Linked DNA regions of Lonchura striata. The protein of the gene in region 3 interacts with the protein of the main gene of each other region in a pairwise test. Links are inferred from orthologs where the notes say so. Each region holds a gene or a part of one and is shown on either strand. Other genes may lie near its edges. The genes, in order: FAM221A, CCN3, HOXA1 and SPRY1.

Region 1 (7,931 bases), about 1.4 Mb from region 3:
ATCCTTTCTGTTGCTTTTCTCATTTAAATAAATAGTTTTGAATATCTGCATAGTAATCTTAACGTAATGAAGATATCCAAATATTTTCTCACACGTGTATGTGAAGAGGGGTTCCACATTAAAGAACTTTTGAGATGAATGGAGGGACAGATGGTCAGACTCTCAAACACACTGATACAGCTCTTAAAAAGCTGCCTATGCAATGTTAAGATCAGAGAAGTTTGCTGATCTGTTTTAATTGAAATAATGTTTAAAATGCAGAATCATGGCCCAGGATATAGAGGTTCTTGTGTTTAGTGGCACCCACTATTATTCATCACATATTGCACAGTTGTCTGGTTTTCCAAGTGACTGCTAAATCCTTGTTTTTTAATAACAGTCATTTAAAGAAGCTGACTAGATAGATCTGAATTCTTATTAAAAATACTTGCTAATTCAGAGGTTTCCAAACTGCATCATGTTTGTTATGTGTGCAAGTTGCTTTAGCAACCAAGCACATTCTTTGCAGGTACATGTTCCAGAGGTATTTGCTGTTGTCACAGCCTTTGTTCGTGGGAATCCAGAAGTAGAGTAAATTTAGGAGCCTCTATCAAGACATTACTTAGAGAAATAATTGCCTAAAATTTAACATCCCAGTTTATGATGTTTTCTTGAAAAATCTTTTCATTCCTAAAAATACACTGACTAGTGGAATGAGCTGAATGTCTAAAACATTCTTACATAAAATTGGTGTGGTATTTTTAAAGGTGATATAGAATGTTAATTAATTAATCTAAATATGCCCTCTTTACCTAACAATTGTGCTCTTTCATCATTCTGTATTTTACAAAACAAAGGGTCTCCTACCTTGAGGTTCAATTTAGTGTATCTGATAGCATGCCACCTTCAAAGGCAAGAGCAAAATGGGAGACTTCCCTTTTATAGCAGCCAAAAAAGTGAATTAGACTTTTGCTCTGTTTTTCATGTGGAAGAGACTGGTACTGAATGAGTATTTCACTAATCTCAGTTTGTTAGGAATGATGGACATAGGCATATGTCCAATATGAATATATGTATATTTACATATAAGATATGAAAATATCTTTTAACGTTATTAAAATGAAGCCAAATTAAAAAAAAATCACATTACATACATTCATGGAATCACATCTCTTAAGCACCAGTGGCATCACATGCTGCTGAGTTATCTGTAAGTGATCATAATTACTATATGTTTCCTAACTGTTTGTCAGTACTTCCAGCAAAAACCTTTCATTATTAATTGATTCTTGCTTGCACATGAGGTTAGGTTCCATATTCCCTTTGGCATTCATCAACTTACTTTGTCAGTTGGTGTCTAATCAGGTTCTGTTTTTCTAAAAACAAAACTGAAGAAAGACGTTGGTATTTTTAAATACTGTAAACTAAGTTTAATAATACACAAACTAATTTTTATTGTACGTAGTCTATGGTCATGGTTAGAAGTTTATAAAAGTGAGTACTGTTTGCATTTACTTTTAAGTATATTGGGATTTTGACAACACATGTGGAGTGAGGAAACAATTTGACAGAAACCGTTTCTGCTATGCTTTATGCCTCTTAAATTCTTGTTTTCAGAAGAGCTTATCAGATAGTCATTGACCAGATCCATAGAAATAGAATGACTGGCTACTACTTCAAAATGATGACTTGAGGTTTAAAATACTAAAACAGGTTTTTCCTAAATTAATTATTTTTTAGTAGTGAAGTGGGTATCTTCAATTTATAGATGTTTCACTGAGAATAATTTTAAACACTTGTCAAACTTGTAAGGGTTTAAAAAAATTTAAAGGGTCACACATTTTATTGTTAACAGAGGGTGTTGAGAGAGACTGTCAACACCCTGTGAAGCATTAAGCTGTTGCCTTTGATGTGTAGGCAGCACCTTAGGTCTCACAGAGCTGTACTGTGTGTCCATATGTTCAACCCACTTTGATGTGTTCAGAGATCTTGGGCCAGCAGTATCCGTATGCTACATCACAACTACAGGAGGTAAAGCATGCCATCTGGATTCCTGTTCCTTTTACTTACCTTGTGTCATGGCTTCTTCATAGTAGCTGAAAGCCTTATTTTTTTCCCTGCTATTCAAAATTATTTGGTAGTTTACAAAAAAAAAAAAAAAATCTGTTTTGAGCAGTCTTTAATGAGTTTTACTTTGGATGTCTATTAACAATCTCGTAGAAGGGATGAGAGACAGGAATGGGTTTTCTAAATTCAAAATGTATTCCAATACTCATGCTATGATAGTAAAAAGAGTGTTTGAAATATCTTTATTAGCTAAGAACTCTATTTCTCAGTCACAAAGTACTTTTTATATCTGTTCCTAAGTATGTCTACTGATCCAGATTTGGATCCAATCAGATCTTGGGGGGGGTCTTACTAGCACTGGGTGCTAATAAACTGAACACTGTATTGTGAAACACTTGCTGTGATCAAATCCAGGAAAAGAATTCTCCTTTTTTTTTTGATGGGAAGTAGTTCATAGGACAGATGCCTCACAAAAAAAAATAACTTGATTTCCTACTCTCAGTAAGTTGTCACTGGTTGTTCATGCATAAACACTGACATGAGTGACATACAGGCTAACATTTGTACCCCTCACTGAAAGCTGCATTATTAAGAAACCTGGCTCTTCTCTCTAAACCCAAGCTGTATTTCAGGGGACTGTTTTTAACAAGCACAGATGAGGCACATCAACCCATGACACAGGAGCTCTGCTCATTCTGTGTGAACCAGGCTTGCCAGAGCTCTTCCCCCCGCCCCCACACCTCCCCCTTTATTGGCAGTACTGGGATCTCTGGCACCAGCAAAATGTGCATACAGATAAGGTATCTCAGAGATCTTCACTTTTGTGCAGCTCCTGTGGAGCAGTGTGTTCCTCAGTATGTTCAAATTCTGTCTGCAGCGCTTCTAGTTCTGCTTTCAAGGTCCCCTTTTCCCCATCTGTTTCTTTTTTTAAGTTTTGGTCACAGGAGGAATTTTCTCTTCCCTGACTTTTCCCTGACAATTCTGGTTTTGTTGGTGTGATTTTATTTTCTTTCACTAGCTTACTCGAAGAGGTATTGACTGCAGTGGGGACTTGCTCCCTAATCTTCCTGCCTTTGAGGGTGATCTTTTGTGTTCAGATCTCAGTGTGACAGAGCGTGTGTGTTGTGTTGCTGTGCTGTCTGCTCTGCTGAAATTTCTTATACATGAGGCATAGCCACAGGACAAATGTCCAGACCATATGCCCTATCATCTTACTTGGATACTGAGAGTGTCCCTGTTGTTTCATCTCCTCCTGGGGGATGTTTTGGGAAAATATTGCTGTGGTCCTTGTGGCATTCCTCTTCACCACCTCCTGCTGCATTGCTAGTGGCTTGCACAGTTCAAAACTATGTGGAGATTTCTCTGAATTTCTTTTTTATTTTTTTTCCTCTTTTGCCAGGGAAGTATCATTGTATGGCATGAACAAGGCCTTTCCTCTTGGATCTCAGTTTGACAGTCTGAAGGCTCATAGCTTATGCTAGCAGGCAGAGCACAATTTAAATACCAATTTCCTAAAGCTTGGATAAGGAAAACGTACTATATTTTTTCATCACATATTTGATCACTTTGTGGCCAGTCTGTTTGTATCAATGGGAGGCAGTCAATTTACACTGTTAGTGCAGTGTCAGAAATAGCAGCCTTTGGTGGATTCGCTAAAAACACATTGGAGGAGTTGTTCCAATATGGTTACATTGATTGTAGCATATGGAAAAGAATCGGGACTTGCAGGTTGCCAGTCTAAGAACCATCTTTTGTTAAGAATGTTTCCCAAAGTTGGCCTCCTGTAGTCTTGAACTACAAGTAAAACGTATTTTCTAGTGGAACATACATTTTATTTTGTAAAGGAAGAGGAATCAGTGACCAACCAAAAGTACCCCTCACCTACCCACCAGAAAAGAAGCAGTAGTCTAAGCAGCAGCAGCAGAGGGCAATGTGGGTGCAAGGCTGGCACTGGGAGGGTTTGGGTGCTGTGCTGTGTGGCTGGTGGCACCCAAGGCTGTGGATGCCCTTCTGAGGCACTGCACTTGTGTGTGTGGGTGGCTGTGCCCTGGCACTGCTGCTCAGTGTCTATCCCAAGGGGCACAGGGGGTGCCTGCCTTCCCAGACAGTGTGTCCTGTCCTTGATATCGAGCTCCTCAAGATTTGAATCAAACTTTGCAATTTTTTTAGTTATTAATCAGTTGCCATAGCAGGACAGTTAGGGTTGAGCAATTGCGTTGTGAATGTTATGTGCTTGGCTAATTTTTTGTTTTAAGGAAAAGAGAAGACAATTCCAAGATGAATGGACTGTGTGGATGAGAACCACCAGTAGTGAAGCCAGCAGAACTGAGCAGTAACCGAGAGAAAGGGAATTCCAGCTGTGGGCGATCACAGCCACCTGCTCAAAACAGACCCCAGACTCAAATGGGCAGAACTGTGCCTGTGCACAGAGCTGTGCATGACAAGAGAGAGGTATGACTAGCAAATAGGGGGCTGAATACTAGTTAGTAGGAAAATTACTCAATTTGTAGCCAATGAATGTTGATGCCTTTGTTAAAATGTAATCAATAGTGTAAAGTTTTGATGACCTAGCCTTTTGTGGGTTACCACCTAGCTCTCTGCTTTGCGCAAGCCGGAATAAAACAAAGCAGGGCCTCGCCCCACTGCGAGCCCGGTAACGACGACGCCCCGGCCGGACAACAGCGCGGCGCGGGGCTGGCCGCGCCCGCGGCCCGCACGCTGCCCCCGCGCTCGCACGTTCCTCAGCCGCCGGTGCGGAGCGAGCTGCGGCGAGCCGCCCGCCTTCCCCGCCTGGCCCCCTCCGTCCCCCGGCTCTCTCCTGCCTGTCCCCCGCCTTTGCCCCGCCTGTCCCCGGTGCCTCCCGCCTGCCCGGCCCCGCCCGTTCCCGGCGCCCTGCCCCGGGCGGCCCGGCGGGCATGGAGCGGCTGCAGGCGGACGCGGAGGCCCTGGAGGAGTACGCGGAGTACCGGCGGTGAGGCACAGGGGCGCTGGGGTCGCTGGGGCGGGGGACGGGCGTTTCCAGCCGTGCCGCATCCCTGCGGCGGCCCGGGATTCCTCCCGGGGGGATGCTCGCCTCCGGCCCTCCTGAATCGGCTGCTGCGGGGTGTGCGGCGGCTTCGTGGAGCCACACGCACCGCCCGCCGGCCACTGTCGCAGTCGGAGGAGCCGCGGCTGGTGCGCCCTGGTGAGGACGCGCTGCAAGCCTTGGCTGTCAGCGGGGAAGTCACGCATCGTCCCTCGCATCCAGGGCAGCGTGAGGTGTGCTGGGAGAGGCCATCTGCTGCATCCCTGCCCACGGCAGGGGCTCCGGAATTAGGTGGTCTTTCAGGTCCCGTCCAATCCAAACCATTATCTGATAATCTGCCAGCCGTACTGCTCTTTCAGAATACGAGGAATTCTGTGCATCATGAGTTCCAAGTTTTGCGTTGTACAAATCCCTTACACTGCTGTGTGTCTTTGCCAGTCTTGTCAGCGGTCCTCTCGAAAGGCTGAACAAAAATAAACACTGTCGTTGTGCTGAGATCTTAATTTAGTTTAGGAAAACCTCGAGTAAAACACAGTGGTATTTCTTACGTAAGATGTGCAGTGATTCAGTGGGTGTTGGTTGGGTTGACATGCACATTATTCTGGTGCTGTACAGTGCTGGCAGTGCACAAATCCACAGAATACTTGACAAAGAATCACTCGTTCAGCATTTTTTAGCATATCCAATAAATAATAACTGAGATATTTACAGACATTAATAAAATCACTTTTAGCATAGATAAGTGCTGCAGTTAAGTCTCATTTGTATTTTACATATTTTATTTATTGTCCTTAATTGTTTCCATAAATGCAGAATTTGGATGCTGCTCCAGAGTTCCAGCTAGTCAGTGACCTTGAATTTGAACATAGTGATAGCTTAAACAAATGGGCCTGTCTGTACTGAGGGATAGGGCCCCCACCAGCTTCTGCTACAGAAACCAGCATAGTCTTCTTGCAAATCAGAAGACAACTTGAATGTGTTGTTTGTTACTTTGATGGTTACCTGCTTGCAGCTGAATACTCAGACTAGACTAATATTTGATACAAGTTTGACTAAGATCCTGATACAAGTCTGCAGTACAGTTGGGTGTAGATGGGTGAAGTGACTTACTAGAGGTCCGTGAAGAAGTCTGAGGCAGAGCTGGCTGGTTACATGACCCCTGATGCTCATTGCTATTTTTTTTTTTTTCTGAAAGAACACCTGGTAGTTTGTTGTGTTAAATTTTTCCTTCTCTCTTAGAACTAGTTCTCAGTCTATCAGAGCAAATTTTTTAAAAAAGCATTATTCAAAAAATATTCTCCAAAATCAGCCATAGTTCTGTTAAATTATTAGAAGAGTAATATGAAATACAAGATTTGTTTTGCATTTACAGAAAACATTTTGTTATATATTATTTGAAAAAAAAAATCTGAGATACCTACTTTTATTTTATTCATTTTCTTATGTTTTTTTTTTTTTTATGCTATGTAAACAGAATTGTAGGTGATGATGATGGAGGAAAGCTCTTTACTCCTGAGGAATATGAAGAATACAAAAGAAAAGTATTACCAGCTCGGCTACAGAACAGGTTGTATGTGAGCTGGAGATCACCAACTGGCATGGACTGTAAGCTTGTGGGGCCAGAGACACTGTGCTTTTGCACTCACCGGTGGGTAGCTTCCCTCTTTTTACACTTTAGTATTTTTCACAATCAGGAAAATGTGAAATAATCCCAGACACATTACAGTAGCACATTGACAAATTTATTTAAGGTTTAAGAGTTGAGAAAATTAGGTTTTAAATAGTAACAACTGCTCGTACATGCAAATGTCAATATATTTTTGAGACCAAAATGATTTTGTAGTCTCAATAAATTCAGCTGCAAGGCATGAGTTAATGTAGATCAGATTGATTCTGGTAGCGCTCTCAAAATGAAAGATAAGGATATGTGATATTTATGTAATGAATAGATGTAAAACCACCTGCTATCATGCATTTAATTGAAATTTCACTATTAAGAGTAAAAAGTACAATTAAAGTTACTTCAAAACAAAATCTGTGAAGTGAATAGCAAGCCTTTCAGGTAGTTTTCTCATAAACACTAACAAAGTTATAAAAGTCATTACCTCTCCTGTTTTAGGTATAAACAACACAAAACAGACTACGAGGTGCTTCCCAAGGAGCGCCCTATCAGTCTGCCCTGCAGAGTGAAGCGCTGCCCGTGCCAGTCCTACCAGTTCGTGCCCCTGAACGGCACCCAGCCCGTCCGCTGCCGCTGCAAGCACTTCGCGGACCAGCACAGCGCCGCGCCGGGCTTTCCCTGCAACTCCTGTAAGCCACCGCTGCGCTGGCGGCACTCTTTGGAGCCGGGAAATTCAGCAGGAACAGCGTGTGAGGATGGGCGTTCTGCCCAGGGTATCGGGTGTGTGCTGCTCTTGCCACCAATGCGTGTTTTCATCCTTGAGGAAGGATGAGAAGAGGGAAGGAGGACATCACCTTTTGCACAGGAGGGTTTAGAACAACATCCTTAGTTTCCCCAGGTCCTGTGAAGGAGTTTAAATCTGTGAGTGCTTCAGATAGGTGCTTATGGAGACAGATGTCTGAAGTTAGACGGTATGAAAGCACCCTGTTATCAGTTTGTCACTTCTGCTGCGTGCACGTACCTTTTCTACCTGAACTTGCTAGTTTGAGAGAGAGAAGCGTTGACCTCCATTTCTCTATTGTCAAGTTGACTAGAACATTAATATGTTTTTGTCTTTTCTCAAGTCAACAGGAAGTACTACTCTGTTCCCAAATAATTCTATTGCTAGCACTCTAACAAAGTGGTTCATGACCATAGAGATTGTGGCTCTAGAAATACAAATGGGAAAGGAGTTTCAGC
Region 2 (7,221 bases), about 110 Mb from region 3:
TTAGAGCTGAAGACCTGCCTTGCCTCACTCTCTGCAGCATACCTTATCCGATGACTCTTCATTTTCACAAGGTCTTATCATGCAAAGCCGTGTCTGTTTCACCATTTCACACTGTTGATTCCTGTTGGTAACACGGGTGGAAAAGCCCATTCCACAGCTGGTGGAACAAGCACTCCATTCTGTTGTCTGCTCAATACAATTGGCACTTGAATCAGTCACAGTCCCAAGTGTGGCCTCTTGCCTGTAGGCTGGAGACAAAACCCCACAGAACTTTATTACAAAAAAAACTCACATGAAATCTTAATATCTAATTGAGCTCCATCATGTCTGAGAAGGAACATGTGAGACAAAATAAGGTTCAAAATCCATGCCTTTGACAGGATTTAGAAATTTGAAAAGCTGACTTTTTAGGAATCCTGAATAGCAACTTCCTATGTCTAAAAAAAAAGCCCCAAAGCAGAAAGATGTCTATCAGTGTAATCAGCAAAGCATTTAGATTCTGTTCACTCAAGTCCACAGCTGGAAGAATTATTGCTGACTTTTAAATCAGTTTAGAATCCTAACAGATTTTTATTCTTCACTCTTTCTAATGGAAATATGACACAAGTCAATTCTAAAGCTATGTCATAAAAGTATTTATATTAGGTACTTGAGAGAGGCTGAATTTTTTATCTAAACCAATAAACATAATGGAACAAAAGTCCTTTTACACCTGAGAGTCATAAAGTCACGCCATCTTGTCAATTATTGACAGCCTACAGCCAGGGTGATGGTGGGGAGGCTCGAGGGAAGCCATTTCCAGGAACTATCACAGGTACTTAAAGCCATGGCCAGGTCTGACCACCGTCCTGCTCTCCTGGCAGTGTAAAGCTGCACTGGGCAAACATTGCTGAGGCACAGTTTTGTTCACTGATTAGCACAGTACCCAACAGGAGGAGACAATACAGCTGAGCCGTCAGTCACAGCTCTTGCTGTTAAGCTCCTCTGCAACAGCCTTCCTGCCTTTTGAATGGCAAAGATCCAAAAAAAGGTGCCCTCCAGAGAGGGATGGCCATTGCCGAAAGAATGCAGACAATTCATCTGTAGGCACCTTATGGCTTAGCCTGTCACCATCAGACAAATCAAAGGAAAGGAAAGGTAATAGAAAAGTGTCAAACTTTTTGTTTACACCTTATGTGCTTTACAAGTAACACTTCACAGCACACTGAAAAGCTACTCCAGCTTTTCTTCCTCAATCCTTTCTCACTTGTTTTTAAAATGGATTAGCTGAGTTTTGGCATAACTAACTGCCCAAGATCACAAAGAGCAGTGACTGGAAGAGAATGCAGTGCCCTCCACTCTTGGAAGAAAGTTATGAAAATTCATGTTGAACTAAGAGTTTCATTTAATGGGGATGGAGACATAATTCAGTACAAAAACTGAAAATAGGAAAAAACTGAAAAAGAAGAAAATCCTATCTAGCTTTTTTTAAAAGCCTGAGTTCTGCACTTTGGAATGGATTGAGTTTTCTTACAAATCCATTCACTGTGTTTATAACCACTGCCTCTACAAGTACTCTGTAATGTTTTTAATGCCATCAATAAACATGAGCACTCTATCAAAGACAGGCTGGAATTCACTGGCATTTTAGCTACCGTGCTGACCACTTGTAAGAGCTGCAGAATTCAGTGGGGAGAAAATATATTGTAGACTAAACTGTTATAATACTATATATGTTGAAAAATATTCTTGCAGAGCAACTAGCAAGACTGCATCTTTTTTTTCTTTTTTCCTTGGTGTGGGAATGTTTGGCGGATTAGGACCTTGTCCTTGTTTTCTTCTGGTCACAAAACCAATGCATATCAGATAAACAGAAATTTAAAAATTGGGAACTACATTAATTAACTTTTAAAACTACTATGCATATTCATCCTCTGAATCTTTCTTTTACCTGATGAGCTTTGCCTTTATTAATAACCACTGGTATACTAGTCACTGTATGGCAGAAAAACACCTGACCATACAAGCAATATGTCTTAAACCTGGCAATCCTGTGGATATTTCCACGATGATATCACCTCCTGCTCACAATGACTATAATAAGTAATTTTATTTTCCTCACCAGCCATAGCAAAACCTCCCAAAATCACTTCATCGTCAGGGTCGCAGACCCACTTCTCACAGCACTCTCCAGGGACTTCGACTTTTCTGGGGAAGGGGCAGTCGGGGCCGGGGAGCAGCAGGTCCAGGTTGCAGCGGGGCAGGCAGCCGATCTGGCCGTCGCGGCAGGTGCACTGGTACTTGCAGCTGGGCTGGAACGTCTCCCCATTGCGATAAATCATCCCATCAAACACGCAGTTGTCTCCCTCCAGCACTAGTGGGAAAAGGGGAAGCATTTCGCAGAGGCAGAGGGCACCCGGACAGTCCCCGGCCCCCCCAGCCCCTCGGCGTCCGCGCTGGCACCTCCCGCAGCACCGGGGGCAGCGCCGGTGGTGCTGAGGACCGGCCCCTTGCCGGAGGGCGGCGGGAGAGCCGCGGGGCAGCGACGGGCGCGGCGGGCCCGGCCGGGCAGGGTCTCCCGCCGCCCCGAGAGCCGCAGGCGGGGACGTGCCGCTCGCCACCTACCCATGCAGATGCCGGCGGCCGCGCCGTCCTCGGGGCCGCGGTCGCAGTAGAGGCCGCTGCTCTCGTCGCAGGGCAGCAGCGCGGAGCAGCGCTCGCCGCGCTGCCGGGCGCACACCGGGCAGCAGGAGCAGCCGTCCAGCACGGCGGGCACGCCCGGGGCGCAGCGCGGCGGCTCGGCCGGGCAGCGCCCGCCGCAGGAGCGGGGACACGCCGGCTCCCGGCCGCTGACCGGCGGGGACAGAGCGGCCCCGGGGGCCGGGTCACGGGGCCGGGCCGGCCGCCGGCTCCCCCCGGCCGCCGGCCCCGCCGGGCGCCCCGCGCTCGCCTCGCACGGCCGGAGCAGCAGCAGCAGCAGCAGCAGCAGCAGCAGCAGGGCGGGCAGGTCCTGCCCGCCGCCCGTCGCCATGGCCCCGGCCGCCGCCTGCCCGCCGCCCGCTCGGCTCTGCCGGCAGAGCCATTGCAGCCGCTTTTATAGAGGCGCTCGGGGACCCCCCTCCGCCACCACCCCCGCACGGCGGGCACCGGGGCCGGAGGCGGAGAGCTGGAGCCCGGCCGGGCCCTCGGCTCCCCCCGCTCCCTCCGCCACCTGCCCCGGCGGCGCCGAGCCGCTGCCCTGCCCTGCCCGGCGCCGGCGCGACCCCTCTGCCGGCGGCGCACGGAGCGGGCACCGCAGCCCCGGGGACAGAGCCGGCCCCTGCCCGGGGTGGGGCTGGCCCAGAGCTACCCAGTGCCCTCGAGGGGCCTGCCGCCCTCAGCCGGTCCCTACGGCCCCTTCCCGTGCCGTGTGCCCGCAGCGTCCATCCCGGGCCGCACGCCGAGGGGGCACGGTGCTGCCTCGCAGCTCGCTGGCACCGCCGGCGTGGCTGGGCAGTGCTCAGCGCTGGAGACCAGCCACCCCAAAGCCAAACGCCTCCCGGGGCTATACTGCTCCTGGCCCCGGCGTTGAAGCGTTTTGAGCTTGGTGGGCACTGAACTCTTCACTTTCAAGTCACGGGCGCTGTTCTTTATTAGAGAGGTGCAGGTGTATCAGCTGATGAGACACAGATGTTGCATAGGGAGTCCTCCCTGCTCTGTGCAACTCAGTGCGTTGGAGTGGTCACAGACTACTCAGTTCCTACATGGTGTATGCAACCACAGGGGACACAGAGCCAACAGGCCCGGCCTCAGGAATGCTTTGTAGAAGTAACTCCAGTGCTCTGTGCTGTTATTTTAGCATGTGCAGGACAGATTTAAGGCCAAGTGTAAGGGAGACTAAATCTGTTAACGGGTTTTACTCAGCAGGAATTGCCTTCTGCCTAAGGCAGGCCTTCTTGGGTCTATACAGATATCCTATACAGATATGCTTTATCCTTAGTTGTCTGAGGCAGATAATATCCACTGGATTCTGTTATGGCTTGTTAAAGAGAAAATATTTGAAAAGTAAACAAAACTTGTTGACACACTAGTGAAAACTAGATGTCTTTTAAGTTTAAGACATGACACAAGTAATACTCATGAATTTACAAAGCTACTGTAGCTCTGTACCAAAGCAAAACACATCACCAGAAATGACAAGACAGAAGTTTTGGTTTGGACAAATGTGACCATTGCTTTCTTGATGCTAACTAGCAACAGCAGGATTTCTGAAAATGCCTGGCATTCTGGGGAAAGCAGATTTCACTGGTGCAGGATCATGTAATCTCTGGCCTTCATTTTCTCAGGCACAAACAGCATGACCAGCCAAGAGGAAAATTGGATTGTTCAAACATTATTAGCAGCTTGGGTATGAGTTTGAGGTTATTTAAGTCACCCACTGCCTAACAGGTCATCTTGCCTTCTTTGTCTCTTTTTTTTCTCCCTTATTAATCTCTGACTTAGTCAGTCAGTGCAGCCACTTTTTACAGCACTTTGCTTGTGAACAGAATAACCAATGCTCTTGGCCAGGCATGAAGATTTGCTGAAAAGAAGCAAGGCTTTTTCTGTAGTGTTCCCAGAAGCAAGCCTGCAAGCCAGAGGGCACATGCAAGACTTGTTTTTGCCCATCTCACTGCTTGTGAATCTGCAGAGGTTTTCAGTGCTGGTAATCATTCACAGTCACTGAAAGTTTCCTTACCTTTTAGTGAGATTACTTCACACCACTCTTAAATATCTTAAATATATTAAATATCTCAAATACTTTAAATATCTTAAATATCTTAAATATCATCTTAAATATCTTCTGGTGTCTATAAAAACATTTCACCACATAAAACTGCAGAAAAAGTCAAAGAAATGAAAAAAGTATTTGCCAGCATACTTAATTTGGAAAAAAAACCCACCCTCTTTTACATGTGTTTAATAGATTTATTAAAGCTGCACTTGCTTATGAACACTCTGTTTATGCAATACCAGTTATGAAAATGAGATTATGCTACATTTTAGTACAATAGGACCAAGTATCTTTTCCTAGATATTTCACTTCCTCCGTGCATAATTTCCAATCTGTTGAACCACCAGTTCTTGGACACTGGTTTATTTTCCTAACTGTGAATCTTTTTGTTTGTACTTCTCTTGCAACTTTTTAAAGTTTCTTATCATATGAAAGCATCCTTTGTTACTTCTCACAGAGTAAAATAATGATCAGTGGAGGTGTTTCATGCTGGCTCAGCTGGCAATGAATAGCATTCATTCATGATACAAAATTAGTAAGTACAAATAAATATTTTAGTTTCTCTGTGTTTGCTTTTTTAAAAGAACTGTACTTAAGTGAGTTAATATTTAGGTTGCCACCTTGGCTGTAGCTGTTGCAAAGAGTAATCCCTCCTAAGATGTAAAGAAATTAACCTCTGTTCTTCGCTCTGCAGGGAAACACAGTTGGAGAACACTGTTGAGAGGTGTAAGTTCAGGAACAGAGCCCAGCAGCAGAATCTCAGTATTAAGAATGTACTTAAAGGTTTTTCAGCACTGGAAAAGTGCTGGAAAAAGCTGTATCTAAAAGACTGGAAACAGAGTTACAAATAAAACTGGGTCAACTCTTAGAAGGTTTCTGGTATAACTATCCATAGGTGTCAGGATATATATCAAACATTAGAAAAATTCAAGCATTCATAGTGCTATCCCTCTTTTTAAAGCCAGCTGTCTGTGAAAGTGACTGCTTCACAACATGTAGCTCCACAAAATTATCCATTCTTCATGTATGTCAAACAATGCCATTTTTAGAGTACAGTTGTCATAAACATCATATCCTTCTCTTTCTCCTTTTGCTCTTTTGTCTTACCATGTTTTATTGATACAAATACAAGGTGGATAATTCAGCACTTGTCCGGCACTGTTTCATAAATAATGCCCTTTCTTTTAGTCTACCTCATAAATGGCAGTATTTTTCTAGAAAATATCACAGGTTTTAGTTTTTAGCTATCCCTTTCCAGCGGCAGCTGACAGCTGCAAATTCCTAACATCTGGTGGCGTTACTGATACCACACACGAGCGACATGTGGAAGCGTCCTTGTTACCGAGAAAGGGTTTTATCACTGTGTGCGTGTGACTAAGTTGTTTATCCCGCAGCACCCCTGCAGTCAGGGTGGGGGTGTGGTTTCGGCAGGAGAAGGCAGGGATGAGAAGGGAAGGCTCCCCCTGCCCTGCCCATCCAGCGGGAAGGTGTCGGGGCAGCCCCTCTCCCCCCCGGCGCTCCTGCTCCGCCCCAGCTCCTGGTGCTGAAGGACAGCAGCGACGGGCCCCGGCTCCGAGGAGAGCAGAGCCGAGCCATGGTGATCCTGTCGTGTGTGCTGTGACAGGGACAGCAGAGGCACTGCCGCCACCGCCATCGACGTGGGCATGGATGCTCTTGCTGAATGAACCAGGCCGGTGAATTTTCCCTGTAGTGCATGCACTGGCCCCAGTGCCTTCCCTCTCCAAAAGACATCCTGCTTCACCTGAGAGACAGATATTCCAGGAAAGCAACTGCTTCATTCAGTGATTACCTCTGCTAACCCTGACATTGTTTAAAGTAAGATGTAAGTTCTAATTATTTATAATGTCGTTATCAGAATTATCCCCACAGACTTAGTCATAGTTGTGCTTTTGAGAGGAGATTAAAAAATGTATTATCCTTTTGCCAATGGAAGAATTCTACTAGTTTTTATTTTTTTACAGTATTTTTTGTGGTGGTCTACAATCCCACTGAAGTTATGCTATGATACTGTGAGTTTTGCAATAGTAAGAGTCATGCAAATGACAGTGACTTGGATTTTACTTTTTTGTGAGTTGCCTTCTGTGTCATCCATAAAAGAAATAACAGGTTTAGCAAATAAGAAATTGGAGGGAAAATGTTGAAAGTAAAATACTTCAGAGCATTATTTTAAAATATCTTACATACAAGTGAAGAAAATTTTGAAATGAAATAACATTAAAAATCAAAACATTGTTTTGAAAATGTCAGAGTTACTTATGTTGGGATGGGGAGTTGCATCACTGAGTCAGACAGTTCTATGTGCTTAAAAGAAATTCAGTAGAAAAATTCCAGTTTCTTCTTAAATGCATGTTCCACCAAAAGTTTCTTTCCTCCACACCTATTTAATTATAAAGCCTGCCGGGAATACTTAGAGCACAATCAGCAGGTGAAGTTCTTACACATGGCTTTGTTATGGCTTTGTTATTTTG
Region 3 (6,508 bases):
TCTGCTTGAGCTTAAGACGTTTACTTGATACGGTCATCTACTTTACCAATATAAAAATGGATCCAGTTTGGCGAATGCACTCACCCTGCTTAACCTGATAATCGAAACATCATTCTAGAAAAATCTGTAAAAAGATAAATCTCTCGGACAAAGTATTTACAAGCAACAAATACATTGACACGAACAAAGAATACATTAAATTAAGGGGATGAATGTCCTATAAGTCGTGTAAACACTTGCAATAGTGCATCTCTTTGTGAGGTTATGTACCCTAAATAACCTGTCTTTCACTCAGGGAAACTCGGTGGAGCGTCCTTGCAGTGGTGGAGGGGGACCCTTACGCGGATGCCAACACAGCTCCACCCTTAACAGAAAAGGAAGGGGGGGCCAGGAAGAAAATTCCCCTAGCACCAAGGCGCCGGGACCCGGCGGAGCCGGCACCCCCGGGGCCGGACGGCGGCGGAGGTAGCGGGGGAGGGAACGGCAGCTCGCCGGGACCTCTCGGGGATACCGACCGACCGAGGGACCGACATAAGAGCGGCGGAAGGACGCGTGCCGCTCCGGCGGGGGCGTCGCGCCCGGCGGCCGTCGGGGCGCAGCCGGTCTCAGTTGGAGGCAGCGAGCGTGTCCGAGGCGGAGGAGGCGGGCGAGGCGCTGCAGGGCGAGGAGCAGGACTTCTCCGACGAGTCCTCCGCCTTCTCCTCGCAGCCCGTGGGGGTGGCGGGGGAGATGGGCAGCAGCCCCTCTTTCTCCCGTTTCTTTTGCTTCATCCGCCGGTTCTGGAACCAGATCTTCACCTGCGTCTCGTTGAGCTGGAGAGAGGCGGCGATCTCCACTCGCCTGGCCCTGGTCAGGTATTTGTTGAAATGAAACTCCTTCTCCAGCTCGGTGAGCTGCTTGGTGGTGAAGTTAGTTCTGACGGTGTTGGGCTGCCCCACGAAGCCGTACTCGCCAGCCTTGCCTGCGAGGGGACATGCAGCGGTAAGTGAGCGCAAATGATTTATAGGCGATGTAATCAATATGTCCACACCGGCTAAGCGATAGGGAGCAAGAACTTCTTAGGATAAGAGGGAAACCCCGGCAGGGTGAGTGATGGAGTACGAGGTGCTAAACCGGAGTCAGCCTCTAGTGTCAGAGCAAACTTGATAAGTGGTTTATGAATTACCAGAAATATGACCACGGGAGAGGAGGAGAAGGGGGAGTCAGGAATAAGTGGGGAATAAGCGCCGCTGGCTTTCAGCTGCGCGGGCAGGCAGCCGCGACTGATCCCAGAGGTGCGGGCCGACCTACCTGCCCAGAGCCCCGCGGGATACCGCGCCTCTTTCCCCGCACCTGCGGCGGACAGAGAGAGGAGCGGCCCCCGCCCCGGCCCTCCCGCCGGCCACTGACCTGTTTTGGGTGGGTTTCTTTTCACTTTCATCCAGTCGAAGGTTTGCGCCGGCGGCGAGGTCTCGGTGGAGGGGGAGCGGGCGTTTTCCCGGTGGCCAGCGTGGAGGGGAGACAGCGCATGGTTGTAGGTGCCCAGGGGCAGGCTCTGCTGGTCCTGCCCGTAAGGGGGAGGCACGTACTGAGCGGAGGCCCCCGCGTAGCCCTGGTGGGGGAGCGGGTGCTGCGCAGCGGCAGAGGAGGAGATGCTCCCCGAGTACACGGCGGGGGCACAGGGAGGGAAGCCGCCGCCCAGCTCCGCGTCCTGCCCCAGGGGGTAGGGGCCGTACGCCGGTCCGAAGCCCTGCGCGCTGTAGGTCGGGCCGCAGCCGGGGTGCGCGTAGGACACCCCCAGCCCGCCGTGGTGCTGGTAGGCGGCGGGCTGGGCCGGGCTGTGGTGATGGTGGCGGTGGGGGCTGATGGGCACCCCGCGGCCCGCCAGGAAGCGGTCCTCTCCGCTGCAGCTGCCGGCGCTGACGGCGCAGGGCTGGAAAGTTGTAATCCCGTGGTCGGGGTGGTAGGCGCGGGCGGCGCAGGCCCCCGCCTCGCCGCCGAGGACGGGGTACTCGAGGAAGGAGCTCATCCTCGCCGCGTCTGTCTGTCACGCCGCCACCGGGTCTTCAGCGTCCGGCGGGGCCGCGCCAACTTTCCCACTTCCTCCATGGGGCCGGCAGGAAAATGACACGAAGGCGCCGGCAGCGGGCAGGCACGTGGGGGGCGGCAGCCAATGGCTGCGGCGCCCGCGGGGCTTCCCCGGCTCCTGTCGCTGGTACAGCGCCGCATCGGGGGCATTTAAACGCCGAGCGCTCCGACCGAGCGGCACCGCGGGCAGGGAGGCGCCGGCCGTGGCCCCCAGGGGGTGGGGGGCGGGCCGGGCAGGGCTGTACACACACACCCCCGCCGCGGCAGCCCCCTGGGTCTCGTCCGCCAGCTGAGAGAAGAAGGCAGGAGAGACCTGGAGGCTGCGCCCGGCCCGCGGAGCCCACCGGCCGTCCCCTCCAGGGTGAGTGCTGCTGCCAGTGTGCCCCAGCATCACCCTGCTGTCGGCGCTGTCAAGCCTGCACCGGGCACCTCTGCTGCCCATCAACCCCGGCCAGGACAGCGGCGGGGGTGGGGTGGGGTGGCTAGGGGAGGTGACTGGATCCGCGGCACGGGGCGAGGGATGGGGCGGAGAGAGGCAGAGACAGCGCTGAGAGCATCAGCCCTTGGAACGGGAATGAGAATGGGACCGTGGGATGCGGCTGGGGACTTCTACCGGGACGGGAATTGAGATAAGAAAAGGAATGAAGGTAAGGATAAGGTAGAGAATAAAGAATAGGCATGGGACCGAGGATATGGATATGGATGGGATGTGGGTGGAGGTGGAGACGGTAATAGTATCGGTGCCGAGGGGGTCTCGCTGGTCCAGCCCCGCCGCAGTCCCAACGCGACGCCACGCCAAGAGTTAAAGGGGCTTGTCCAGCCGCATCACCAGGCGGCCGCGGACATTAGCATGGAAATTAGGCGCTTTTGGGACTGACGGCCATTGTGCTCTCCCAGGCTCACCGGCCACCCTCTGGCCCCCATCCCTTCTCCCCCCGCGCCTTCGCCGGGCTCACCCTCGCCAGCCTAGGGAAGGAGGAGCCGGGGGCAGGAGGACGAATGATTGGACGGGGGCCCGGGGGCTCCGCAGCCCATCTGCTGTGCTCCCGCAGCGCCGCTGCCGCCCGTCCGCCCTGGGACAGGGTGGGGGGACGGCTGTCCGGGGTGTCGCGGGTCGCAGCCCGAGGAGGCGACCCGGGACAGGGGCAGAGGAGCGGAGGGAGGCGCAGAGCCCGCCGGCCCGGCCTCTTTGTCCCTGCGCTCCGCCACCCGGGTCGGCGGTAGGGAGAGATGGCAGATGGCCAGTGGCAGAGGCGGCCCCAGGACCCTCGGGAACGGCTCTGAGGATCGACTCCAACCCAGCCCTCCCCAACACCGTGGGGAGGTGGGTCAAAAAATTCGTCCGTGGCTAGAGAAGGAGGGATGGCGGTGAGATGTAGGTTACGACCTTATATGCGTTTTACGTATGCGGAAAGGGAAAGGGGAGGTAAAGGCCGGGCATCCGTCTGTCCCAGCTCACCCAACCGTCTGCAGGCAGAAAGGACGGGACCAAAAGTCTTCAAAATAAGTTCTGCGAAACGTCAGCCTCGGAGAAAGATGGATGGAAAGTCATGTCCCCTGACACTAGCCCCAGAAGGGGCTACCCCCTCTATTTCTGCAGGTGCCGACTCTTACGTCCCTCTGTTCTCACGCTCGATCCTTGCTTGTTTTGAAATCCAAAAGGCTCTTCTACCACGCTACCACTCCCCGCTCACGAATACACACGCACACACCCACATACACACCCTCAAGCTCCTCCCTCCCACACGAACTGCGACACAACAACACTAGGTGCAAAGCTCTCCTTCCTACTGCTATTGGGTCAGCCCTTATCCCACGGCATCTGCACGGCCGCTCTACTGTCAGCCAAAACCGACGGGCGCCTCTCCACCACGCATCATTCCCGGTGCCCTCAGTACGTCTATTTGTTCTGATTTACTACAGAGGCGGGGATGGTTAAGGGCCCTCTGGAAAGGTTCAGTTTCTTAAACTGTAGGGGGGTGGAGTGGAGGACAAGAGCAACAACACTCTAGAGGCGTTTATGATATTATACTGCGCCAATTTTGGTTATGGCTGCAGCTGTAAACACATTTATTTCATTCTTGTAAACCCGTTGTGATAAATACTGCACAAAGCAGAGAAAAAAAAAAAAGACAGCGATTAGTATTGCTTACTAATAAAAGGGCTGACATCTTCTCAATGCTTTTTCCTTTAGCCAAGGGAAAAAAAAAATATTTTACTACAACTAGATCCCTTTTACCCGTAAATTCCGATCAATCACTTTTCTTACAGTCTCCAGCATCCTGAAATCCTTTTTCCTCTGCCTTTTTGGTGCCATTGTCTCTTGTTGCATTGTTTCCCTGGCGGGGCTCTCGGGTTTTGCTGCCCGCACTAAGCATGGGGGCAACATCATGAGAAGGGTCGGAGCAGAGGAGGAGCACACACCACACCCTCCGTCCTCCGCGGCCAGGCGAGGGGGAGCTACGGCCCCTTCCCCTTGCCCTCAGGCCATCCCGGCCCCTCCGCGGCTTCGCTCCGCGTTTCCTGCCACGGAACTGAGGCTGAGGGGGCGATCCCGGCTGTTTAGGCTTTTCCGTGGGAGTGTGCCCCAGCTGTGGCCCCATAGTTCACCCAGAGCCTCGGAGGCGGGTTCTGCTTGCTGAATTCCCCCATTTATTTAAATTGAGTTTGTGAGAAGTTTAAACCTTGTAGAATATTCCCATTTCCTTTTTATTTTCGTTTCTTTTTTTTTACATCTCTGGGTTTTGTTTGGGGGTTTTGTTTTATTGTTTGGGTTTGGTTTTTTTAGTTCGTTTTGCTTTGGTTTTCTTTAAGTGTAGTCAGCATCCGGAAATCTGGGCACAAAAGAAACCCCAAGCCTTACAGGAACGTTGCGGTCCAATTTAACCCAGTGGCAGGGGAGTGAAAATGCCGGTGAGGCTGCTCGCTTTCCGCAGGGACATGGCTGGAACAGAGGGAAGGAGGAGAACTGAGGCCGAGGTTTCACCGCGCCCGCAGCTCAGCCAAGCTGTTGTTTTAAAAGAGCAATAAAAGTGAATTATGACTAAACGCCTTCTCACTTAATGGTTTTAGACGGGGATCCCCAGCCTCGGCAAATACGTAAGAGGATTTTTATTTGTGAATGTGTTCCTGCAATTGATCTCTTTGATGACATTCTCATTCATAGAAAGAGTTTGATTTATGACTTTCGGAAGAATTGCGTTCAGCCCTTCCAGCTATAACCCACGCATCCCAGCTCCACAGCGTGTTACAGGGCTGGGAGACAGCACTGCTCTCATGGACGGACCCCATTCACAACCCCCCACCCAAGCCCCACTCGCTTGTGTAACGTGACCGCTCGGACTCACTCGCACTCACACGCATTCAAGGAGCCGCGAATGTCCCCGCACGGGATTCCCTGGCCCCGGAGAGGCAGAGCCCCGCTGGCATCTGTTGCTGTGTTTTAGCCCGAAGGACGGGGCTCACCCTCTGCTTTGGGGTTCGGTAACACCGGGTGGCAGGCAATTTGGTGGAGATTTCTGAAAGCCCGTCTAGCCGCCTCCAGCAGAAGAGCAGTGAGCCCGAGAAAATTGTAACTTTAAAGTCAGAGGTTCCCCTTTTCGTTATCAGTCTTTCATCTCTCGAGAAGGCTTACACAGAAAAATATCTTCGGGTCTGCCCCCGCACCGCCCCCGAGAAGGATGGAGTGGAGAGGCCGGTTCCTCCCTAAATATTTTTTCTTCCCCCTGCGTTTCTGCCACCCTTTTGATTTCACAGGCACTAACTTCTCCATTTCCTCTCCTCCTAGGGCTGATTTCTTGGATTACTCAGCACGTGAGAAGTAACCAACCACATTATTTGTGAGCTCTGATATTTTTAAAGATACGTTTTCTGAAATATCTTGCTGGCTGCTAAGCACTACTTTCTAGAAAACCAGGATTAATTAAAAAAAATAATTAAAAGCAACTTTCCTTTCGTTCATGTAACAGGCTGGTGGTTTCTGAAGGAGACACTTACCCTATTGAGTCACTCTTACGTTCTGCCTGTAGCAGAGAAAGTCTTCATTCATGCTTTTGTTACAGCTCAGGATTTCCAAGCTTTGTATCCTCACAAAGATGCCATATTTATACATTAAAAGGAGCAAATGTCTATAAAATCTGTGAACGGTTCTAATTTCTTTAGTTTGTTTTTCCTTCCCTTATGAGAATCCTTACAATAAAGGAAATGAACGATTTTTTCCTCTCTAATGAGTGTCCTAGATTGCCAAAAGGGAAGAGCTCGTTGTCAAAATGTTGGATTTTGATTATTAGTAAATTAATAGTGGAAGGGATGGGGAGAGATACCCGTCATGTTATCCGTCTTGAAAGCAGAGAGAAAAAGAGGAGAAAGAGAAAGAAAAAAGAGAAAGCTCCTTGTAGCAAACAAGAATTTATTCTACCAAAAATACTTATGACAACGCATC
Region 4 (7,608 bases), on a different chromosome or scaffold from region 3:
GGGAAGGCTGCAACGCAGAGAAAACTGCAGTGAGTTCTGCACCTACACAGAATTGGAACTGAGTATCCAAGTGCCACATTTATGCAGGGAACCAAGACAACAAGCTGCTTTTCTTTACTGTCAGCCAAAGGAAAAGTCCCTTTTCACTCCCCCTTGGGACGCCATAAGTGTTTACCTGAAAGCAGAGAAAGGTAAGTGATAGCAAGCATTTCAAAAACTCATCCAATAATGCTATGAAAGTGTCTTGTATATCCAGACCACAGCCAGCATGGAGCTGTTCCCCGCTCCAGAGAGAAAAAGGCACCGAAAGAACAAGAAGAGGAAATGTTTGTTCTAGCAGGCAGTCACCATAAGCAGAAAGTGACAGCTTGTGCCGTGACACAAAGTCTTTGTCCTCATCCAGTAGTCAAAAGATTTCATTTTACATCTGACATCACCTGTGTGGGCTTTGTGGTCACCAGATTAAACAGAAAAACCAAACACTCTCACTTCTAATTCACAGAACAGAATCACAGAATGGCTTGGTTGGAAGGGACTTAAAAGACTCTGCAGTCCCAAAGCTCCTGGGCATGGGCAGGGACACCTTCCACTAGACCAGGTGGCTCAGAGCTCCATCCAACCTGGCCTTGGACACTTCCAGGGATGGGGCATTCACAGCCTTTTCCTGTGCCAGTGCCTCACCACCCTCCAGCAAAGAATTTCCTCCTACCCCACACAAGAAGCAGCCTTCTTCATGAGCACTGAATACAAATCCACAACAGACCAAGGCTGAATGAATGCGAAAAGGGAAAGATTTACAGCTGTACCAGTCAGGAGCTGGGCTCCCTAGGGGATGAAAAACAATATCCCAAGAAAATGCAAAGACGTCCAGTGCCATCTTTGGGGGGAAAGCGCAACATCAACGCGGCGCAGACTGACAAGCCCAGCTGCAGACCGGGGCGAGAGTTGAACAGCCACCTCCACCCCCGCGCAGATCGCTCGTAAACTGCTTCTCCCCCCGGACAATAAAAGAAAAATTAGTAAAACAAAATAATAAAATAACGTACGATGCAGGCGGCGAGAGCCCTCACGGTTCTGCACCCGGGGCTGCGCTCCCTCCCCGCCCGTCGGGGGTGGGATCCCGCTTCCCTCCCCTTCTCCACACCCGCTCGGACACGCCGCCAGCGCCCCCGTCCCGCCCTGCTCCGCCCCGCTCCCCGCAGCCCCGGGCGGGCGGCGGCGGCGCGGCGCCCTCTGCGCCCCGAGCGGAGCGGAGCGGATCACGGCGCTGACGGAGAGGAAGGAAGAGGAGGGGAAAAGGGGAAGAAAAAAAAGTTATGAATGAAAACATAGTTGTTGTTTTTTTTTCCCTTTCTTTCTCTCCTTCTCTCTCTCTTCCCCAGAGGAAGGCAGATCTTAGCCCGGCGCTGCCTCGGGAGAGCAGATTACCTGGCGCTTAAAGCGGCAGCCGAGCGGCCGCTCAGCCCCGCGCTGCGGCTCGGCACCCTCCGCCTCAGCCCCTCCAGCCCCCACCTGCGAGGAGCGTCTGGGGGATGTTTTTGACGTTCTGCTCGTTCGCAGCCGGCCACGATCCCCAGTAAACCTTCCCGCAGCAGCCCGGTGCCTCCATTCCGGGAGGGGGACGGTGGGAGGGTGGTCGGGGCCGCCCCTCACCGGGCGGGCGCCGCAGCGCCCCGCGGCACCTGCTCGCTGCGGCAGCGCCGGCCCCGCGAGTGAGTGCACGGCGGGTCCCAACTTACGGGTGTGCAGGCAGCCACCGGGAACGGCAAATCCAGCGGGCGGGGGGCGGCGGGGCCTCGGCTCCTCGCTCTCCCGGCCCCCGGGGAGGGGAGGGCCGGCGGGCTGCGCTCCTAGTCCCCGCGCAGCCCTCGCTCGCCGATCTCCACGTCCTACTAGGCCAGCAGAGAAGAGCCCCGCTCTCCTGCCCACCTCAGCTCCCCTCTCCCGGGGTCAGCATGCAGCGGCCCCGGCCGCCCGTGGAAGCGGCGCTCTCCTTCGGCCACGGCTCTCTCGGTCCGGAGGCGACGGGGAGCAAATCCAGCCCTTCCTGCAAAGCGGAGTATCTGGATGGAGCCTCAGGCGGCTGCAGGCTGCGGCAGGCAGCGGGGCTGTTGCGATGCTGGTCTCTGTGAAAAGGCGGCGGGTGCGCGGCTCCTGCTCCGGTTGTTTGTTATTTCCCTTTGCGATCGCAGAGTGCAGGGCTGCGGTCCCGCTCCGGCGCTCGGCTTCACCGCATGGTCCTTGCCGCAAGTCCCGTCTGGCAAAGTGCAACCACAACCTCTGGTGCGAAAGATTCGGTTGGGTTTTTGCTTTTTTTCGTTTTGATTTTTTATTTTCTTTCTAAAGCGATCAAGAAGCGGCTCTAGCTCTCCAGGCAGAACTCAGCGAACTGCGAACGAAGCCAGAGGCAGCGCAATGCAATGGCCCTGCGAGCTCGCCGCACACAGCCATGTGCTGGCTGTCGCTGCCGGGGGCCGAGTGACAGGCTCGGGGCAGGGGCAGGACGCGGCGGGGAGGGGCGACCCCGCACGCCGCAGTCTGGCACCGAGGTCTCCGCAGGCTCGAGAGGGTCGCGCAGAGCTCCGACGCGCCGGAGACCCCGCGTCGGGCGGGACGGGCGAGTACCGACCCGGAGCTTCTCTGTGAGCAGCGAATCGCGCCCAACTCAGCGCTGCCGGCCCGGGGAGCCGAGCCCCGGTTCTCCCGCCCGGTGCCCCGCGGAGCAGCGAGCGCGGCTCGCCCGCACCTCCCGCACGCCTCGCAGCGCGGCCGCCCCCAGCGCGGCGCGGGGAGCCCCGGCCGCCCGCCCGCACCTGACCCGGCGGGAGGTGGGTGTGCGGCGCGGCGAGCGCCGCCCGGGCTTACCTAGGGCCGGGGTGAGCGCCCGCCTCCCGCGGCACATTGGCGGCGCGGATCCAGCCCGGGCAGTGCCGGCAGCCGCTCCGCGCTGCCCCGCCGCCGTTCCGGAGTGACTCGGGCCGCGCCTCGCCGCCTTTCAGCGCGCAGCCCCCGCCCGCCGCCGGCCGCGCCCCCCTGATGTCAGTGTGCCTCCGAAATCCCGGCGTGGATTCCCCGCCCTCCCGCCGGGAGCCGCTCCCGCGGGCCGCCAGGGACAGAAGAAGGGAGGGAATTGAGGAGGGAAGGAGGGAGGACCTGCCCCTCTCCGGCCCCGGCCCCGCGCTGTCCCGCGGCCGCGGCTCCTCCCGGCCCCGAGGCCCCGCCGGCAGAGGGAGCGCCCCGCGGGCTCGGCCCGGCGGAGCTCGGAGCTGCCCGGCTCGCACACGCTGCCCCCGCCTGCGCTCGGCCGGGCGGGCAGAGCTCACGGAGCTGCCGCGGCACCGGCGGGCACAGGGCTCTGCTGAAGGGCTGAAGTTCTGCCACGCTCCTCTGACAGAGTTACAGAGAGATTCCTCTCTGCGTTTTGCCGTCTGCGCCCTTCAAGCCAGGTGGAACAGCCCTTCGTTTATATTCACAAGGTATTTTCTGCTTCTTTCAGGCTATTGCGGAGGCGGCTGAGGACCCGAGAAAAGCACTCCCTCTCGCCATCCTGCCATGAGATAGGAAGAGGCTCTTCCCATCGGCTGTCACTGCAGCAGAGATGATACTGGTTATCGACCTGGCTGTCTTGTCTCCCACCTTTCCAGCCCTGCCTCGGCAAGGTCCGATCTAAAGGTCACGACTGCATCCCTGCCATGATGCCAAGGAGATACAGGGATGCTTTCCAAGTCAGTAGTTTTATGGCCAGATATTACATTTGACGTAAGATTTTTGGGGGTTTGGTTTTTCTCAGTGAGTATTCTAATATTTAGAATATTTTAGAGTATTTAGGCCACCAAAAGAACAGGAAAGTGATATGAAGCACATCCAAATTCTCATAACAACATGTAAGGTATTGGAATAGTTGAGACTTCCAGTACTTGGCTAAACACCACTCAGCCTTAAGTTTATCTGAACCATACTAACAATCTCTTTCACCAAAAAAAAAAAAAAAAAAAAAAAAAAAAAAAAAAAAAACCAAAAACAAAACTTCTCCCACCTTTTGCCCCAAAGAAAAGAAGTATGTGCTAAGGATATGTGGAGCTGCTTAGCAGGAACATACATCCAAAAGCAAACAATCCCTACAAACAGGATTGTACCACAAAGGTGGTACTCTGTGACAGTCTGCACACCCAGCTCACACTTGTGGAAGCAGCACAGTGGTTTTTCATTAAACTTCACTAAGCTTTCATTTCATTTTTGAAATTTTCATCATTATGCACAACCTTTACCTGAACCACCTATTTCTATATGAAATAAAATTTGCATGCATTAGAGGTTCTGTACTGAATACTAGAATATAGTACTAGTGGTAGTGTGACTCCTAATACTGCTGAGTTTGTAATTAACAGATTGCAGACAAACCATAAATACCATTCTCCAGTGACAGAGGCTCAAAGGACAAACAATAGCATAAAAATCCTTGGTGTGGAATAAAAGTATTCCAAAACAATATTTGATTTATCCATTAATATGGATTTAGAAAATGTGGTTGTTCACCAAACGCATCTTCAGGCACACCTTGAGCACAAAGTACAACATCATTTTCAGTGAAATCCATCTAAAAACTTTATAAAGAGTTACAAAAGCTTATGTCTGACAAGAACAAAAAATCCAACTAAAGAACCAAAATTACTACAAAAAATTTTAAAAACCATTACTCCTGCAGAGTAGTCTTAGTGGTGCAGTTCATCTTTGTAGGTAGCAGGGCTCAGTTCTCGCAGAAGTCCATAAACATTTTTCCTAGGACATGACCATGAAAACACCTCAACGCCTTTCCTTTCACATCTCTAAAGCCAGTACCACCTTAAAAAACCTATGCCAAGTGTAAAAGCTTGATTTTAGAAACATAATACCAGACTTAAATGGGTCAGTCAAATAACCAAGAGGACTGGCAGGTGTTCACTATCACCTGGCACTTGAATTAGTACTTCACTGAAAGAAGGGAAAACCCTCCAGCAATATCCAAAGGCTCTCCACAGGCTCAAGCAAACATTCCTGCACCTCGCACAAGTCCATCTCACTAGATTATTCCTAGAAATTATAGCAGTGAGAAGTCCTGATTAGAAAAAGGAGAGCAACATTCTGGAGAATGAACTGGCACCTATGGCTACATCCTAACATGGCCTAAATTTGAGGATTGATGCACAGGCAGGAATCTGATGCAACCAAATAATTTTCTATCTCCAAACCATCATCTAGAGGTGGCTCAGCTGACACCAAGTCAATAGAGACCAGCCCTCTGTGCCTGAAGGAAATCCTTCAGAAAAACCTGCCAGAAGGGGCTCGGGGGACTGAATGATGGCCAAGAGCAGTGATCCAATCCCTCCTTCCACTTTCACTTTGAGGATCGGGTACTGGAGATAATCCCCACCTTCTGCAGTCAGATGCTACTTCTCCCTCACAGCAGCACTGGACAGAACAAAAGCACAATCCATCCTTAGCTTTTTGTTTTTCTTCCTAATACACCTAGAAGTAACTTTTATCTCTAGGTGACTTAACTGACCTTTGTAAAGATGCACCAGATAAACTGTGATCCTCCCACTATCAGGAACAACTATTTCCATGGTGCATTCCCCCTGGGAATATTATTCTGTTTCTCCCTAAGCAGCATCTCTTAGCCCTTGCTAAGGCACAAATCCCAGTCCAGAAGGAAGACACACACTCATCCGCAGTCACAAAGCCAACATGGCTTTGAGGAGACTCAGCAGGGGAAATGTTTCCCTTTATGCATGTTACTTGTCACTTCCTAACCAATCTTCACAGCTGCAACAACATTTCTCAGGTTACAGAGGAATTTAAACACCCCCCTCCATTAGCATTTACAACAAAATTATGAACCAAATTGTTGTGCCAGTCTTACCTGTAGCGTGTGTAGGTCAGGTACTTCCCTCACCAGAGATGATCTTGCAGAGGTGGTGTCAGGAGAACTGACTGGAACCTACAGCTCCCCAAGCTTTGTGTGTCAGCAGCTTTGAGTTTGTGTCAGGTGGAACTTTGTAGTTGTCAGTGCTTGAACAGTCTCAGAAACTCTCAGTGCTTGTTGGGACAAGACCAGCATAACTAACTTTTTAACACACCACTAGGCCTATATATACTACAAGGCAAGAGGAAATGGCCTCAAGTTGCACCAGTGGAGATTTAGATTGGGGATCAGGAAAAATTTCTTCACTGAAGGCACTGGAACAGGCTGCCCAGGTCACTGGCTGAGTCACCAACCCTGGATGGATTTAAAAGATGTGTAGATGTGGCACTTAGGGACTGGTCTACTGGTGATTTGGCAACGCTGGGTTGATGGCTGGACTCAATGACCTTAAAGGTTTTTTTCCAGCTTAAATGATTCCATGATTTAAAAACTCTCCAACAAACCAACAAAGGCTATGGAACACTGCTGTAATAACAAGTTTCTCAGCAGCTCTCATGAAATCTTGCTGGCCCTGGCTTATGCTGGTGCATGAGATGAATAAAGCTGCTCCCAAGAGCCAAACACCATGGCTGCTGTGGTGAAGGCATACCCTGACACGTACAGTGAATCATTTCAGGGTAAAGAAGAGAAAGCAAAGGCTGATGTGGTAGCATTTCCCATCACACTTTCTACCAGACAGGTTGACCTTTATCTGAGATCAAAGGCACGGGTGGCTGGGGATTTCTTCAGCTCCTGTGCAGGGGCTGTTCTCAAAGCTCTCTGGAGACACTCAGCCCATGTGCCAGTCTCTTGCCGTCACTGCACGGGCTGGGGAAAGGCACACAGGAAATCCTCAGTTACAAATAGAACCTGTAGTTTTCACTTCGGGAGATAACATCAGCTTTTCTTAGAGGCAGAGGAGACAGTAAAAGGCAGCAGCCGGGCAAACCTCCAAGAACAAAGGGACGAACCTCGACGTGAACCTGCCTCATGAACATTTGAATGTGGAATCAAAGCATCTCGGCAAATGCTGCAGAGAGAGGGGTTTAGTCTGTGCCCAAATTAAATAGGACGAAAATGCCAAGGTCTGTAAAATAGGCTGAGAGTCTGAGAACACACTTTCCCTTCCCCATCTCCTGCATTGTATCAAAGAAACCAGCATTTTCCTTGAGTAACCACAGGCAGAACTTCACTCTCCTAAGGATAGGCCACAGCAAGTCTCTTCATTTTCCACCACTCCTCTGACATACAGGCAACTAGCACCTCTACACCTCTCCTCAGGTACCCATAGTTACTGTTTTCTGAACAACTTAAATCTTCCTTGGACAACTGCCCCTCTAGCCTTCATGTGTAGCTGCTACATGGGTTGTCTGCATGTGCACAAGGTATTCTGCTAAGCTACTGACCATATTTCCCTTGCTTTTTATTAACTGTTAACTATTTTAGCTAATTGACTTCATCTGCCTGTATAAACAGCTTTGTGAAAAAAGGAAAACTGTCATTATTACTGAATGCCAATAATAATTTACTCTCATCTACCATAAATTATATGCAAATCCTTGTCTCGTATCCTAGTGCTGAGCAAACTGCCCCTTCCATTCCACTGAGACACAATTCCTTGCACAGACACAATTCCTATTTCTGCTGGAGAAGTTGCCGCTCCCCAG

What was found.
Region 1: the proteins of HOXA1 (region 3) and FAM221A interact in binary tests that used the Homo sapiens proteins (3 or more experiments, as listed by UniProt). The link is inferred for Lonchura striata from reciprocal best matches to the Homo sapiens genes HOXA1 and FAM221A.
Region 2: the proteins of HOXA1 (region 3) and CCN3 interact in binary tests that used the Homo sapiens proteins (3 or more experiments, as listed by UniProt). The link is inferred for Lonchura striata from reciprocal best matches to the Homo sapiens genes HOXA1 and CCN3.
Region 4: the proteins of HOXA1 (region 3) and SPRY1 interact in binary tests that used the Homo sapiens proteins (3 or more experiments, as listed by UniProt). The two-hybrid records come from large-scale screens. The link is inferred for Lonchura striata from reciprocal best matches to the Homo sapiens genes HOXA1 and SPRY1.

The regions. Positions count from the first base shown.
Region 1 is NC_134603.1:124,838,698-124,846,628, reverse strand, and holds the start of FAM221A (protein FAM221A), read left to right. Parts: upstream 1-4,922; 5' UTR 4,923-4,961; coding exon 4,962-5,017; intron 5,018-6,545; coding exon 6,546-6,719; intron 6,720-7,190; coding exon 7,191-7,381; intron 7,382-7,931.
Region 2 is NC_134603.1:14,138,257-14,145,477, forward strand, and holds the start of CCN3 (CCN family member 3), read right to left. Parts: upstream 3,011-7,221; coding exon 2,937-3,010; intron 2,829-2,936; coding exon 2,605-2,828; intron 2,354-2,604; coding exon 2,102-2,353; intron 249-2,101; coding exon 43-248; intron 1-42. UniProt on the Homo sapiens protein: Immediate-early protein playing a role in various cellular processes including proliferation, adhesion, migration, differentiation and survival. Acts by binding to integrins or membrane receptors such as NOTCH1.
Region 3 is NC_134603.1:123,485,868-123,492,375, reverse strand, and holds HOXA1 (homeobox protein Hox-A1), read right to left. Parts: upstream 2,009-6,508; coding exon 1,390-2,008; intron 962-1,389; coding exon 606-961; 3' UTR 509-605; downstream 1-508. UniProt on the Homo sapiens protein: Sequence-specific transcription factor. Regulates multiple developmental processes including brainstem, inner and outer ear, abducens nerve and cardiovascular development and morphogenesis as well as cognition and behavior.
Region 4 is NC_134606.1:69,052,218-69,059,825, forward strand, and holds the start of SPRY1 (protein sprouty homolog 1), read right to left. Parts: upstream 3,002-7,608; 5' UTR 2,866-3,001; intron 1,091-2,865; exon of another isoform or gene 1,047-1,090; intron 722-1,046; exon of another isoform or gene 710-721; intron 1-709. UniProt on the Homo sapiens protein: Inhibits fibroblast growth factor (FGF)-induced retinal lens fiber differentiation, probably by inhibiting FGF-mediated phosphorylation of ERK1/2. Inhibits TGFB-induced epithelial-to-mesenchymal transition in lens epithelial cells.